Tribolium castaneum: one gene and its partner. The main gene of each other region encodes a partner of the protein of the gene in region 2 in a complex. Links are inferred from orthologs where the notes say so. Each region holds a gene or a part of one and is shown on either strand. Other genes may lie near its edges.

Evidence for each region.
Region 1: DNA replication complex GINS protein PSF1 (region 2) and Mcm3 share a complex: the UniProt entries of both Homo sapiens proteins name them as parts of the CMG helicase complex. The link is inferred for Tribolium castaneum from reciprocal best matches to the Homo sapiens genes GINS1 and MCM3.

The regions. Positions count from the first base shown.
Region 1 is NC_087400.1:2,690,877-2,699,565, reverse strand, and holds Mcm3 (DNA replication licensing factor Mcm3), read left to right. Parts: upstream 1-3,697; 5' UTR 3,698-3,826; coding exon 3,827-3,898; intron 3,899-3,952; coding exon 3,953-4,274; intron 4,275-4,320; coding exon 4,321-4,451; intron 4,452-4,501; coding exon 4,502-4,740; intron 4,741-5,008; coding exon 5,009-5,302; intron 5,303-5,355; coding exon 5,356-5,662; intron 5,663-5,716; coding exon 5,717-5,865; intron 5,866-6,124; coding exon 6,125-6,428; intron 6,429-6,499; coding exon 6,500-7,018; 3' UTR 7,019-7,064; downstream 7,065-8,689. Other genes in the region: RNA-binding protein 7, read right to left, coding at 7,076-7,486; glutamate dehydrogenase, mitochondrial, read right to left, coding at 8,042-8,155, 8,204-8,689. UniProt on the Homo sapiens protein: Acts as a component of the MCM2-7 complex (MCM complex) which is the replicative helicase essential for 'once per cell cycle' DNA replication initiation and elongation in eukaryotic cells.
Region 2 is NC_087400.1:16,457,664-16,464,727, reverse strand, and holds DNA replication complex GINS protein PSF1, read left to right. Parts: upstream 1-2,794; 5' UTR 2,795-2,887; coding exon 2,888-2,959; intron 2,960-3,010; coding exon 3,011-3,075; intron 3,076-3,129; coding exon 3,130-3,583; 3' UTR 3,584-3,733; downstream 3,734-7,064. Other genes in the region: PWWP domain-containing protein 2A, read left to right, coding at 851-1,038, 1,132-1,317; protein mago nashi, read left to right, coding at 5,276-5,716; eIF2Bbeta (translation initiation factor eIF2B subunit beta), read right to left, coding at 5,787-5,859. UniProt on the Homo sapiens protein: Required for correct functioning of the GINS complex, a complex that plays an essential role in the initiation of DNA replication, and progression of DNA replication forks.

The DNA of each region.
Region 1 (8,689 bases), about 14 Mb from region 2:
TAAACAATACTTTTGTTTTAAAATTGTGAACTGCTGCCAGGTGTTTGCTAAATATAGTTCTGTGTTTAAAATTAGGTTTGTTTATCGCTTTTTGTAATTTTTCTTCATCACAATATAATTTAATATTTTGTTGGTTTCTAACAGATTGCATAGACTGACTTACCATATGGGGCATTAACCATTAATTTCCAGAAATCTTTTTTTTATGGAGGTGCATTCGGGTGCTTTTGATATATTTTCCACATATGTCACATTTGATTTTACTAACTCTCTTTTTCCTTGGTTCAGCAAATAAATCATCATCAAATCATCAAAATATTTCTGAATTCGCTTCGCTCATGAGGACTCTGTCCGAATTCCGCAAAGGAGGCATAACTGATTTTTTTCCGTTTTTTATTTCCTTATGTAATTGCTTTATTATATTTTCTAATATATTTGATGTCTAATGATTTTGTAATATTAAACAGTTCAGATAAACGAAGATTACTTAAGTTCCTTCGTTCCATTTATTATAGGAAAAAATCTAACAAACAATTTTTAGTAAATAAATAAATTCAATCCATTTTTATGCAAATCTGTTTTTATATGCCTTTTAAAATTAGTTCTAGTGTAATATCTACCACAATCACATAATAAACGAGTAGAATTAACAGCTTTTTTACATTGTTTACATGTTTTTTCATATTTATTTCTATAGTTATAAAAATCATCTGGACATTTTAATTCCAAACAAATGGAGCAAAGACTTGTCATTTATTAGAACAAATTTATTCATCAAAGACTTCAAGATTACGAAAGTGTATTTTAAGAAAATCTAGTTTTGCCAAGGTTAATACGTTATTTTCATACATTATATATACTTCTCATATCGTTTAACCTTTTCTGAAACATTTGTCGTGCTTCTTGGTCATCGTTATGTGAGCAATTCATTTAATTTACTACATTTTTTTCATAAGAAATTATCTATAAACAGTGCATGATAAAACACACTGTCCCTTTTGAGGTAAACTTGTGATAAGCCTCGAGATTCAAAAAAATATGTGTGGTATAGGGAGGAGGTGATCAATTTAATGTTTATTTAATTAATTGTCAAAAAAATAAATACTTGTAATAAAAGGGATCTAGTACAATATGCGAGGCAATATGGGACCTACGTATTATAAAAAATAAAATAAATAAAACTATTAGATGTAATTATATGATGAAGACAAATAACGTATGGAAAGAATTTTATCTTCCAAGAAAGAAGAAGCGAAAAATTAAAAATTAAATTATTGACATAGATAATACTGTTACTTGAAAGTTTATGATCAAGACGTATTTTTCATATTAGACAATGATAATCAACCTTTGTTTAAAGGTAAAGATTTAGCAGAAATATTGGGTTATGAAAAATCAACAAATGCTATAAGTAAAGACGTAGGTAGGTGTTGATTTTAAGAGAAAATTGATAGTCGTATTTTTTTGGAAATATGTTGTTTTTGCAGAAAAAGAAAAATATTAATCACAAATAATTTGCTTCAATTCATGGGATTTATTGAAGAAATAACGCGATTTTAAGAACTTTTTAAAGGACTAGGAAATCTCATACGAAGAAATAGATTATAAAAATGCTAAAGCAAATTTGTATAAATATATACAAAATGATTAAAAATTTTAAAGAATTAATAATGATGTTGAATAACAATAAGGCAAAAAAAAGTTAGGAAATATCATTTTAAATTAGAAGAATTGCTAGATAAATAGGAAACTAACGTTAACGAATATAATCTTTTAAGGCAATACATAATTATAAAATTAATGCTAATCCATTAAACCTGTTGGACTTTATAAATAAAAATAACTACTCCTATAAAATTAATTTGAGTACGTGGTTGACCGATATATGGTTTACGTTATTTAAAAGAAAAATATAATAATAACAAATGATCTTTTATGCTTTATACAATATGGAATTTCAGTGGGGGGTGGCTATCCCCCACTGAATTTACGCGATATTAAGAAAGATTTAAAGAAAATTTTAGAAAACTATAAAATAGAATACCAAATAATAAATTATGATAAGATTAAAAATGAATTATCATATTATAAAAAATTGATAACAAAATATATTATAAATATTTCGCCAAATAGTTAATTTAAATAAAACAATATGGATTTTATTGAGTGTTCGTAATATTAAATCCCTAATAATAACATTAAATACAAAAACGGATCAAGAAATTAAAGAATATTATATTACTTTGGAAGAAATATTTTATTCATATTTGGAATACACTAAAAAGTTTTATTTGAATATAGGAGAATCACTCGAAAAGATAGTCAGATAAAGCAAATTGAAACGATAATTGAAATTAAGAGAGATGATTAAAAATATTATCAAGTTAACCAAAGAGCATATAATAAATTGTATAATAGTTTTATAGCAAAGATTCGGTAATAAACAATATAACAACAATTGTGGTAAAGACATGTTTTCATTATAATTTAATCGATGATAATAATGTAATAATGATAATGTAATGTATATATATATATATATATTTTTTTTTGGAATGCAACTAACTTTGAGAGAAATTGTGTTGTTGATAGAATGAGTAGGTAAGTTTATTAATGGTCAAGCTTATTTGCCTGTAAAGTATGCTATTATAAAGTAACTGCGAAAGGCAATTAGTTAACTTTAACAAACTAGTTGAGTTTAATGAATAATTGGTATTCTGAATATAGGTATGCCTTTCTTCCGATAAATGAGATTATTCACTTACTTCCAAGTATAAAAAAAATACCTATTGTGCGATTTGGACCTAAGAATAGTGTTGTATCCACGATTTCGTGATACTTCAGAAAGGGGAAATATTAATATACTCGGTGTAAAATTCAACAGATTTATTCTCTACAAACTTCCAACAACTTACAACGTTACAACAATTTACTTTTAGCTCTACATCGCGTCTCCTTCCCTCATTTTTGTGACGGTCCTTTTTAAGAAGGAAAAACTACCTGCTCCCAGAAGGGGGGCGTCACGAGCGGTTAAGGATTGAGGGTTGCACATTTAACAGGAAAGTGAAAGTTGTACATTACAACAATAGAAACAACTTACAGTACGAGTCAGCGTTAAGCAGCCATTTTCTCTGCGATATTTAAAAACCTTTACAAAAACACAAATTCAGATAAGCAATTTTGCCTACCGTACAACACGTGTTACAACTTCCTAGTGATAACAGTATAATAAATATAATTATTCTAGTTATTATGTAATTACTGCCATGTTTTGGACGCGAAAACAATTACAATATAAAAACCACGTGGTCGTGGGTCAGGATTCAGTTATTTGATTTACTTTAATTTTAGACACAATCGTTGAAAATAAACATAATGTCAGACGAATTACATTTTACTTATAACATTTAATAAATATCAAGACAATCAAGACTTACCTGTTAATCGATGCACAACACGCTCACGACGCTCACACGCTGCTACAAGGTGTCAACAGCTAGACACTGTTCCCACATGACAGTTGACCAGACAATTGCTGAGAATAAGGGAATAAAAAATGTAGAAATTAAATGCAGTTAAGTTTTAATTTGTAATAGAAACACATTAAAACGGTCAGGAGATGTTCTGCAAATGTGATATGCAAGTCACTGTAACAGCTTATTGATGTTTTTATTATGATTTGTCTGGTCGATTGTAATGTTCATGGTGCCAGCTATCTGGCCACCCAGGCCCGACTTGGCAACACCGCTGTGGCTCTTTTCCCGCCAAAACTCCTCCCGTGTTTTCGCCCGTTATTACCCGCATTTCCAGTGTTAAGTGCCCCATTATGGACCCCCAGGAGCTAGACCAGCGCCTCCGCGACATGCAGCACGAGTACTTGGACTTCCTCGATGACGAGGTACGAATTGGTGGTGTTGCCTTCCCCCCGTGTTTTAACCCCAAATTCCCGTAGGAGGACCAAGGCAAGTACGCCACACTTGTTAAAAACATGGTTGCGGACCACAGTTTGCGGCTTGTGGTGAATGTCAATGATTTGCGCCGCAAAAACCCGGCCAGGGCTGCCGCCCTCCTCACTAACGCTTTTGAGGAGCATTCGGCGTTTCAGAAAGCCCTCAAAGAGTATGTTTACACAGTCGCGCACGACTATGCCAAGGAAAACGACGAGTTTTTCATCGCCTTTGAGGGGAGCTTCGGCAATAAGCATGTTACTCCAAGGAGTTTGACTTCGAGGTTTTTGGGGAATTTGGTCTGTGTTGAGGGGATTGTGACGAAATGTAGGACTTGTTTGCGTCTTTCTTGCGTTACCGGTTGGTTTTTAAGGCTCGTTGGTGCACCCCAAGGTCGTCCGGAGTGTCCACTTTTGTCCAGTAACGAAAAAAGTAATGGAAAGGAAATACACTGATTTGACTTCGTTAGATGCCTTCCCCACATCGTCGGTGTACCCCACTAAAGTCAGTCGTGTCTTTTTTGTATTTTTTATCAATTAATTTGAGTGGTTTAGGACGAGGATGGCAATTTATTGGAGACAGAATTTGGGCTTTCGGTGTATAAAGACCACCAAACTATTTCCATTCAGGAGATGCCTGAAAAGGCCCCCGCGGGGCAGTTGCCCCGTTCGGTTGATATAATCTGCGATAATGACCTTGTTGATAGGTGCAAACCCGGGGACCGCATACAAGTGGTGGGGAACTACCGGTGCCTTCCCAACAAACAGGGGAGCTTCACTAACGGCATTTTCCGGTATTTTTCCCATAATTATTAAGCAAAAACATAAAAAAATAATTGGGGCCAAATTTTAAAAAGCTGGTGATTTTGGTTTTGGAACTAGAATTGACAGGACGCCATAAAACAATCATTACATTACGAAAATGTGTTTTAAACAATAATATAGTCACGTAAACAACACACTTGATCCGACTTGGTGCCCCACTGTCTTTATTTTCATTCAAAAATAGTTAACAATTAGTGTGATTTAGTCATTTTTTTGCCACGGGATTAATGTTTGCAGCACTGTGGTGATTGCAAGTAACGTGTCCCAACTGTCAAAAGAAGCAAATCCTTCCATTTCACGTGAAGACGTCGCCAAATGTAAAAACTTGGCCAAATCGAACAAAAACGTCTTTGAATTATTAGCCAAGTCTTTGGCGCCGTCAATCCACGGCCACGAGTACATCAAGAAGGCGATCCTGTGCCTCCTTTTGGGCGGAGTCGAGAAGATCCTGCCCAATGGGACGCGCCTAAGAGGGGACATAAACGTGTTACTGATTGGCGATCCCAGCGTTGCTAAGTCACAGCTCCTCCGGTAAGTCGACTCGATTTGTGAATCGTTGATTGTGATTGGCAGTTGCCATGGAGATACGTGTTATGCACCGCCCCTCGGGCCATTCCCACCACTGGGCGTGGATCGTCGGGGGTTGGTCTAACCGCAGCGGTTACAACCGATCAGGAGACCGGCGAGAGGCGGTTAGAGGCCGGTGCGATGGTTTTGGCCGATCGTGGCGTCGTGTGCATTGATGAGTTCGACAAGATGTCGGATATGGACAGGACGGCCATTCATGAGGTCATGGAACAGGGGCGTGTCACTATTGCCAAGGCGGGGATTCACGCAAGTTTGAATGCCAGGTGCTCGGTTTTGGCGGCGGCCAATCCGGTTTACGGAAAGGTGGGGTTTGATTGGTCGGTTGCGAAAGCAGCGATTTGATTGGGTGATTTGTAGTATGATCAGTACAAGACGCCAATGGAAAACATCGGGTTGCAAGACTCGCTCCTGTCGCGGTTTGATTTGCTGTTCGTGATGTTGGATTCAGTGGATGAGGATCATGATTTGATGATTTCGGATCACGTGGTCAGGATGCACCGATATAGGTATTTTTTTTTAGTAGGCTTGTGCGGACTACGGAGGACTGTGTGTTAGGAGGCGGAACGAGATACAAAATCGTACCCAAAAAATATAGTTAATTAATTTAAATCTGCAAATTGAACTTCCACCTCCAAGGGGGTTAATAATATAAATAATAAATAATATGACTTTAAAATGACAGATACAGTTAATTAAAAATAAATAAGTAAAAAAAAATTAATAAAAAATTATAAATACTAATTTTGAACTTGATAAAAATATTAGAAATCCGGGTGAGCAAGATGGCGAAGTCCTGCCAATGGGCTCAAGCGTGGACATGTTGAGTACAATGCGCCCCGAGGAAGTCGACGACGACAAGGTCACCCCCATGTATGAAAAATACGACGCACTTCTACACGGTGAAAGTCGCAAAAAAACCGACAAAATCCTAAGTGTGGATTTCATGCGTAAATACATCCATTTCGTGAAAATCCTCAAACCGACACTAACCGAACAAGCGTCGGAAATCATCGCCGATGAGTACTCCAAACTCAGGTCGGAGGACGTCCTTGAAAATCACGTCGCCCGGGTAGGTTCCACTTATAGGTTTTTTTGGTATAGTCACTCGTCTTCGTCTCGTGCATAATTTTTTTTTCGAAGACACAACCTGTGACACCCCGTACGCTTGAAACCATGATCCGATTGGCCACAGCGCATGCCAAAGCCCGCATGTCTCGCACTGTTACCGCACAAGACGCCTACGCAGCAATTGAATTGGTGCAATATGCCTATTTCAAAAAAGTGCTCGAGAAGGAGAAAAAACGGCGAAGAAACGCACAATCCGAGTCCGAAAATGAAGAAATGGAGGAGGAATCACAAAGAACGAAGAAATCGCGGCAAGAAGTGGAAGAAAGTGAGGAAGAAATGGAGACTGAAACAATTGAAATTGACTCAACGCCTGCCATGATCACGAGTGAGAGGCTGACTCAGTTTCGGTCAAGTCTCGACAGGGCTTTCCGGGACAACAGGGCGCAGTCTCTAAGTCTTGCCCGCATCCGCGACTCCGTCAACACTGACAATATAGCCCCCTTCAGCCAAGGCGAAATCCGAGCCGCAATTGACCAAATGACTGAAGCCAACCAAGTGATGTTGGCGGACGGGATCGTATTTCTCATCTAATTGTAACAATTAATTAAATAAAAACTGCGATTTTTTTAATAAAAAATTGGTTTTATTTCAATATCTCCTGCGGTTCCTGTGATTATTATTATTCCAGTTGGGCCTATGGTTGTGGTTGTGATTATGATTGTCGTACCTTTGGTAGGGCGTCTGCCGGTGGGGCCTGTTGTGCTGGTAGGGGTTCCTGTACATGTCTCCAGGGCTGGGCTGCTGAACATTTTGGCCCTTCGGTTTTATGATGATCCTGCGGTCGAAAAGGGGGGTACCGTCAAGTAGGCGCACGGCGTAACTAACGGAGCACTCGTGTTTGACTGTAACGAAGCCGTAGTTTGTTTTACGGCCGCTTTTGTCGGTTGGGATTCGGACGCGCTCTAAGGGGGCCACTTGCAGAAATAACTCCCACAGGAGCTCTTCGGTCACTTTCTCCGATAGGTTGCCGCACCAGAGGGTGCGTGTTTGGTCGTCCATGGCGTTTTGTGGGTTTTATTTGGAAAAAATTGGGGTTTGTTTATGCCACATAACCTCAAACGTCACGCGCGCAAGCGCCAATTCTTCGAGGCGCCAACTGTGCCACTTGCTTATCTTTGATCATTTAGAATTTTTTCTTTTGCCTTGTTTTCGTATAATAAAATTATTTTTTTTTAATTAACGCTTAAAGAACAGTGCCAATTTTTTATTTTAATTTTCAAAGCCCAACATTATAGGTGCAATCCAGTGGGTTGTAGAGCTCTAAACGCACCTTTAATTTAGTTATGTATACCTGTTTTTTTAATTAAAAACCCATTAAGGTGCACTTTTATGTGAATTATTGTGATAATGGGTTAGTTATTTGCACCACAGTTGCTTTTCAAATAAAAAAACTGGTTACTAAAAAAAGTCACTTGATTCTAAAGCCGCATTCACACAACAAACGTCACTCAAAAAATCTAAGATAATTATTTATTACATTAAAGTTTACAAAAATGCGTTCTCAGGGAAGATTTATCATTTATTACACTTTAATACATTTTGGAATTCACAAAATCAGTATTTTTTCGCTTCGTAAATCGAATTGTGAATGCTCTGAACGGCCTTAATGTACCCCGCTGTCCTCAAATCCAAGTCAATTCTGAATTCCTTTGCAATTTCGATCAATTCCTACAATAAAAAATTAGAAACACAGCCAAAATTTCCACTTAGCCCCACTTTGCCCGTTTCCGCCATTACATGCTCGATCCCGTACGACAAAATGTCGGGCTTAACGTCACAACAGAGAATTTTTTGTGTCGTCGCGGTCGAAACAACCTGTCCTTGAACCTTTTCCGCATCAAAATAATCCAAAATGTTCCAATACAAGTTTCTCAAAACGGGAAACTCCAACCCATCTCGTTTCAAATGAAACAAATACTCCAAATATGACGCAATCGAGTGCCCTGAAGAGACATAAATATCAGGAAGTACTAGTTTTTTACGGCCGGTTAAAATCCGGTGTGCCGTGGGTGTGATAGCCCCATTTGCGCCTTCGATAATCACTTTAGCCTTGATTTTATCCGCAATGTGGCAATTTAGGGTTTTTTGTTCCGCGGCAAGAATCAAAATATCGCACTGTTCTTTAAAAATGTCATCGTTTGACACCGGCTTTGCGTTAGTGTAGTTCAGGATGGTTTTATTGGCTTTAAAATAGTCTAAAAC
Region 2 (7,064 bases):
TTTGAAGTAAATTCACAATGAAAAAAGTACACACAGGGTGAGTCATTGATATGGGCACTACACTTTTAAAGATATCGAAATGAATCAAATAACACTGCAAATGGGCAGGAAGTCAAAATGCACGTTCTAAAATTATTTTGCCCTATACAGGATCCTTCATTTTTACGGTGCAGCCATTATCATAGTTTTTTTTATGGCACCCCCTGTATACTTGTATATAAATATTTTTCAGAAAAACCGAGTTTCTCCCAAACTGTCAACTTTTGAAAAAACCAAAAAACTTAACAGGTAAAAAAGATGTAGAATGAGATGCTGAAATTATTCAGAGTATTAACTCAGTATTAAAATACAGGGGGTGCTATTTGAAAAAATTAAGTTATGGTCCTTTAAAATGAATATGTCACTGCATGGTAATGCTACAATACAAATGGACAGTCTTATTGCTGAAAGGTAGCCTCGACAGTTGTCGAGTGCACTGCAATTTTCTTAATAATGTGCCTGCACACGCACAAAATTGTAGAAAAAATTAAATAACTACTGAACGGTTAAATCAAATTGCAAAAACTAAACTGATTTATAAAGCCGAAAAAAGTGCAAATTGAAATATGTAAAAATATACAAGTGGTGCCATTAAAAAACATGTTAAAGGCTGACGTGTAAAAATGGAACACCCCTGTATAGGACAAAATAATTTTTTTCTTTGACTTCCCATTTGATTTATTTCTGTATCTTTGACAGTGACAATGACTTTACATTTTGTTTTATAAAGAAAATGATTAAAACGTCGACGTTAAAAAGCAAATAACCGCACAAGATGCTTTTACTTGTAGTAAAAGCTTACTTTTTCCAGGAGGCCGTATGTTGGTCGGCGATGTCGTCTGGGGCAAAATCCACGGCTTTCCTTGGTGGCCAGGCAAAGTGCTCACCATCACGAACTGTGGAGGCCAAGGGCCCCAAGCGCATGTCGCATGGTACGGTTCCTCAACGTCGTCACTAATGCAGTGCGATCAGTTAAGTCCATATTTAGAAAATTTTAAGGTGAGTCTCATTAAAATTCAGATTAAAAAAATGACAATAAATTGTCTATAAAATGTAACACCAACTTAAGTATTATTATTATTATCATCACAGATACGTTACAATAAGAAAAAAAGGGGGCCATACAAAGAAGCCATCAAGCAGGCGACGCTGGAAGCGAAGGAAAACGCCGAAATAAAGATGCGCCAACCTTTAGGAAACTCACCTTCCCATAATATCATCCAACAGGTGGTGCCACCTGCTTTGGCGTCGCCTAGAGAAATTGATGTTGTATCATAATGAAGCATTTTTCTCCTCCTTGTTTGGTGGAACATACAGGTTTTGTTGTAGCGTGTTTAAATCACGCTCATCACCCTGTATATACTAAATGTGTTAATAGCTACTACTGCGCATTGATGTATTCTTTTTTATAAAGTACTTTATATTTATACAGAAATATTTGTATGCAGCAGGCGTAACATGTTTCTTATTTTAATTCCTGATATTGTATCATCTCTTGTAAAGAATATTTTTTGTGATAACTTTGGATGATTGTTTTCATATTGAAGTGTTTTATTCAAGATTTTTATAGGGTTAAGTCATAGTTACTACTATCTGTTAAACAATAATCAATATATCTGTGATTTTATTCCTTTAGAAACATGTAAGTAGTAAAATTAAATTAATAAAGTCATTTGGTACTAAGGCCTATTTTTTCAACTACAATTTTCAGTTGACAAGACTGCATTGTGCAAGACCCGTCATGAAATATTACCATCGAACTAAAAAAATTAACAAAATTTTCCAAAAGTGATAAAAAAAATATTTAGTTGTCCCATTTCATTTCTTAATAGCATAATTTTTGGAACAATTTGCCCCAAAAATAAAATTAAAAATGTCTATTTAGTTAAGTATTCATTGTTATTATTAGATATTATAATATTACTCTTATACTTGGTTGCTAAAAAGTATGGATACAGTTAAATATTAAATAATAATTAATTGAAATCTTGTATTTGCTTAAAAGTACTGTTTAAATTCTATCGTTTTAGATGTCTATAAAATTTTCATTTACATTAATTTTGTTTCTGGGGATACAAGGCTAACTTTTTTTACACAGCAAGAAGGGTCAAATTTATTTTTTTAGTTCTTGATGTAACACATGCTTATCTCATTAAAAAAATATCTAACTAATAAAATTTTCTCTGCTTTGGAAATGTTGTCTTTATCTAACGTTAGCTCGTTTCCGCCTGAACTTTGACCAAAAAATAAGTTAAAGTTAATAATGGTTATTAAATAACACTTTTGTCTGTAAAAGAACACATTTTAATAAAAAAATTAGCTGTAGCCATACTTATTAGCCACTTTGTAAGAGCATTGACTGTCCATCTAGATTGCTTCTTCGTTAATTTATTATACGAATATTTTGCCATCAATTGTTTAATTATCTTCAAAAAATGTTTTTTGTAGTTACGACTTTTTTGCTTCGAAACTTCAAGAAAATTTGTATTTCAATTGTCGTATATTGAAAAACAGCACTCTAAAAAGATATGCATAAAATAACGTGCCAATATCATTTTTGCAAATAAATCGTTTATTAAAGTTCAAAATTTCATACTTCAATTATATGAAATAAAGATACCATAGAAAATTTAAGAAACATGAAATAACTCAAAAAATACGTAAAAGTAGTGACGAAATTTTTGCGTAGTAGGGCAGCATAACTTACCGTAGATGTGACATCACACAAGGATACGCGTGATTCGTGTAAACCCGCCTTTAGTTGTGGCCTGTCATTATAAATGCACCTTTACTGTCATTTGGCGGGCTTTTAGGTTAGAAAACTATTTAGACAAAATTTTAAATCGAAATGTTTTGTGAGAAAGCCCACGTTTTGATCAAAGAATTATCTCGAAACCGGGACGCTTTACCGCCTTACAACGTAAAAATTACCAAATTGTTCCTCACTCAATATTTTACAATTTTTTTTCAGACTGATCTTCTCAATGAAATCAACACTGAAGTCAAGCAACTCATTACTCAAAACCAAGAAGATGCGTAAGTTTACACACTTGATCCTCGAAACCAATACTTCAGCGTTTTTTTTTTCAGTCAAATTTCTGAAGATAGTCGGGTTATGAATCACGCCTCTTATTTACCTACAGTCAAAATACGGCATGCGGCTATCAAACGGAACATTCGATGCATTCTGGCTTATCACTACAATCGGTTAAAATGTCTCAGAAACATGCGCTGGCAATTCGGCAGTATTTTACCGCCAGATGTTAAATCGAATTTAAGTCAATCGGAAATTGAATGGTTTTCGAAATATTCCAGCAATTTAGTACAATATATGCGATCAATTGGTGATGAAGGGATTAATTTAGCTGTGGATTTAAAACCGCCAAAGTCTTTGTATATTGAGGTCAGGTGTCTAACGGATTATGGACAGTTTGAATTGAACGATGGTTCGGTGTTGTTATTGAAGGAAAACAGTCGTCATTACTTACCGAGAAGCGAATGCGAGGAATTAATACGACAAGGGGTCCTTGAACACGTTGTTTGAATTTGGCGCCTTTTTTTTAAACATCAAATGTCCTTGAAAATATTTAAATTACCTTATTTTTGTACGTGGTGATTCAATACTAAATAATTAGTTGTAACATAATCTTAAATTAATCTTATTTCGTAAAATAAAAGCGTCCAGTGTCGCCAACTCTGATTAAATTCCATGTTTTAGTGTTTGTAAGTAAATTGATACCTGAGTTATACACGGTGATTCTGTTAGGGCCTACATTAGTAACTTTTAACTTGTAATATAGCTAGAGCTTTAAAATTTTGTACACGATCTAAATCGACTATTCTGAATTCAACTTATTTTTTTTCAAAATGGCTGAGCTTTCGGAACTACAAAAAATTGGCGCCAAGTTTGAAGTTAAATCACTACTTCGCAGTTTTCATAGTTAATCAAGTAGAACTTGCAAAATGGTCAACAATTGTCAAACTTATTTAATTTTTAGCTGGTTCATTATCAAATAAGCAGTAAAACAATAATATTTAATTATGTTTCATTATAATTTTGTGAATTATGTAAAGTAAGGCAGTTTTACGGTTGACAATACAGAAGATTTTAGAAGATCTTTCAAACCTTTGGCTATCAAATGCAAAAAGAATTATTCACTTATTATAAAGGGTTCACGAGCTGTGATATTTCAAATGAACCCCTGCAAATCAAAATTTATATAAAAAAAATTGACATATGATAATTTCTCGTAGTTCCGGAAAATCAGCCAGTTTAAAAATACTAATTTAGTTGAACTCAGAATGGTCGATTTGGATTGTATACAAAATCAGAAGTCGAAAAGTTTCTAATGTAGACCCTAAAAGCATTAGTGTGTATTGTTTATCCAGATCTACTAACTACCATGTCTCTACTAACCAGTAACCATGGTTGAACCCAAACAATAACATCCAATCAGAATCAAGCACACGCAACGCATGAACATGGTGGCAAATGTTGTAACCCTCAAAGTCAACAAATATGGCTATATCTATGAAGCCATGTCCACCTATAACAGCACCCTCTGTTGAGCAAGCTTCTAATTCTGAGTTTGATTCCCCCCACCACTTTTCTGTTTGGTACGGTTCTGCGTTGTACGTTTCTAATGAAGTATTTTTCTAAACAAATACGTGAAATACGTTGCTGATAATGTATTTTTTTTAGGTCAATACTGTTCTGTTATGTATGTTTCTAGTTTTGTCCGATTCTGCTTGTGTATGTTTCTAGATTTGTCCGATTTTGCCTTCTGTTTCTAAGATGTATTAGCTGTTTCAAAACTATAAAAACGTCAAGATCGCATTTTCTCTCAAAATTCGCTATTATAAATTATTCATGCACTTCAAAAAAAAATAGCAGCTAATGCAATTTATACTTTTAATGAGAGATCTATGCATTAATAACTATTTTACAATTTTATGAAACTTATTTAAAAAAATAATTCGGTAAAGTGCGACGTTGGCGTTTTTATAGTTCTGAAACAGCTAATACAGTTTTGTCATTTTATTTTCTGTTGATGACAAATTCTAGACGTGAATTTTTCTAGATCTGGACGCGTTTTTACTTCCCAAATTAAATTTTCAGCGCGCCGTCCTGGTGATTTTGTCTGTTGTGTTGGCAACACTAACGCTGTCACAAATTTGACAGAAGTGATCCCTAACCCCACAAACGTTCCAAGCGGCTTCCCTAAATTCCGTTAGAATGTCTGCCGATTTTTACATACGTTACTACGTGGGCCACAAAGGTAAATTTGGGCATGAGTTTCTCGAGTTTGAGTTCCGTCCCGATGGTAAATTGCGTTACGCCAATAATTCCAACTACAAGAACGACACAATGATCCGTAAGGAGGTTTATGTGCATCAGTGCGTGATGGAGGAGCTCAAGAGGATTATTATCGATTCGGAGATAATGCAAGAAGACGATTCGTTGTGGCCGCCACCGGATAGAATCGGTCGTCAGGAGCTTGAGATTGTGATCAATGATGAACACATTTCGTTTACTACCTCGAAAACTGGGTCTTTGGTCGATGTGAGTCAGTCGAAGGATCCCGAAGGACTGCGCTGCTTTTATTATTTGGTGCAGGATTTAAAGTGTTTGGTGTTTTCTTTGATTGGAATGCATTTTAAGATTAAGCCAATATAAGCGTAATTTTTGTAAAGTAATGGTGAAAAATAAAAGTTTTGATAAAATTTATGGTTTTATTTAATTGGTTTCAAAGTTCGTAGTCGTCAGGGTGGTACAATTCGGAGAGGAGACGGTAGACGTAAGATGGTGCGTTGCCACCCCTAAAAAAAACAACATAGTAATAAAGGGTGAACCAATATTATCACTTTTGATTGTAATAAAATTTGACGACGAACCAACTTCCTTAAGAAGTTTTAAATAAAAAAACGGGTTTGACGTTTCGTTTATACATGGTGTAACGAAAAGATGGGGACAAAACGGAACCAGATATTCTCCAAGTCAAAGTAAAACGATTTAACCCAATTTACCTCTATACCAAGTGTCACCGTTTAAAAGTTAGAAGGCGCCAAAGTTAAAAAATTATTTTTGTTCTTTATTAGTAACTTCTAAATGAAATATCATTAAATTATTCCATTAAAAAGTTATTAAATAAAATCGAAAATAATTTTTGAAATTGGAGCCCTCTAACTTTTAAACGATGCAACTTGTAAAAATGTTGAAAAAATTCCTAAAGTCATTTTTAAAAAATCTGAAGCTACAAACTTATTGTGTTAACTTTTTTAGTTTTCGTTATTTTTTAATGTTTTTATGCTTCACACAAGGTAGTCGTTCTCTAACAAAACGATGAATAATTATTTTCAAATTTTCTATCAGACTTTAGCATTAAAATTCATCAAAAAAATCACAATGTGTAGATGTGCCAACACTGGGAATTATTTCCTAGGAAACCGTTTCAAAAATAATTTATTTTTATTATTCGGAAGTAAAGTTACCGTTGGGGGCGCCACTGAGCTAGGTCGAAAACAGTAACCATAAATGGCGGGAAAATGTTTATTCGGATATTTTGAGCGTTGTACGAATTTTGAGGCTTCATAATTATTACATTGCCAATGCGGAATGACTATTGTATCTTTGGTGGAAGATACGAATGTTGACAAATTAGAGATGACGAGAAAAACGCGAATAACGAATGACTGTTTGGTTCACTTTCTTTATTGGAAAATTATTACAAAGACATTGAAAAGCCTATCTTTTGGCATAATTTATCTTTAAGTGTATTAACAGTTGTTAATCTGAATTGTAGTTTTGTTGATTTATCGAAGTATTTCATGATTTTATCAATAGAAAAATTCTAACCTAAAATTCACAAAATTCACTAATTCATTGGTTTCTTGAGCCCAACTTTGTGTTCGCTGTGATCCATTACTTATAGTCTTTAATTATAACACTTTGATAATACTTTATAATGAAAATTTAAATCTTTTTCACTTTTTATTCACTTTCAAATTCCAACAATAAACACTTT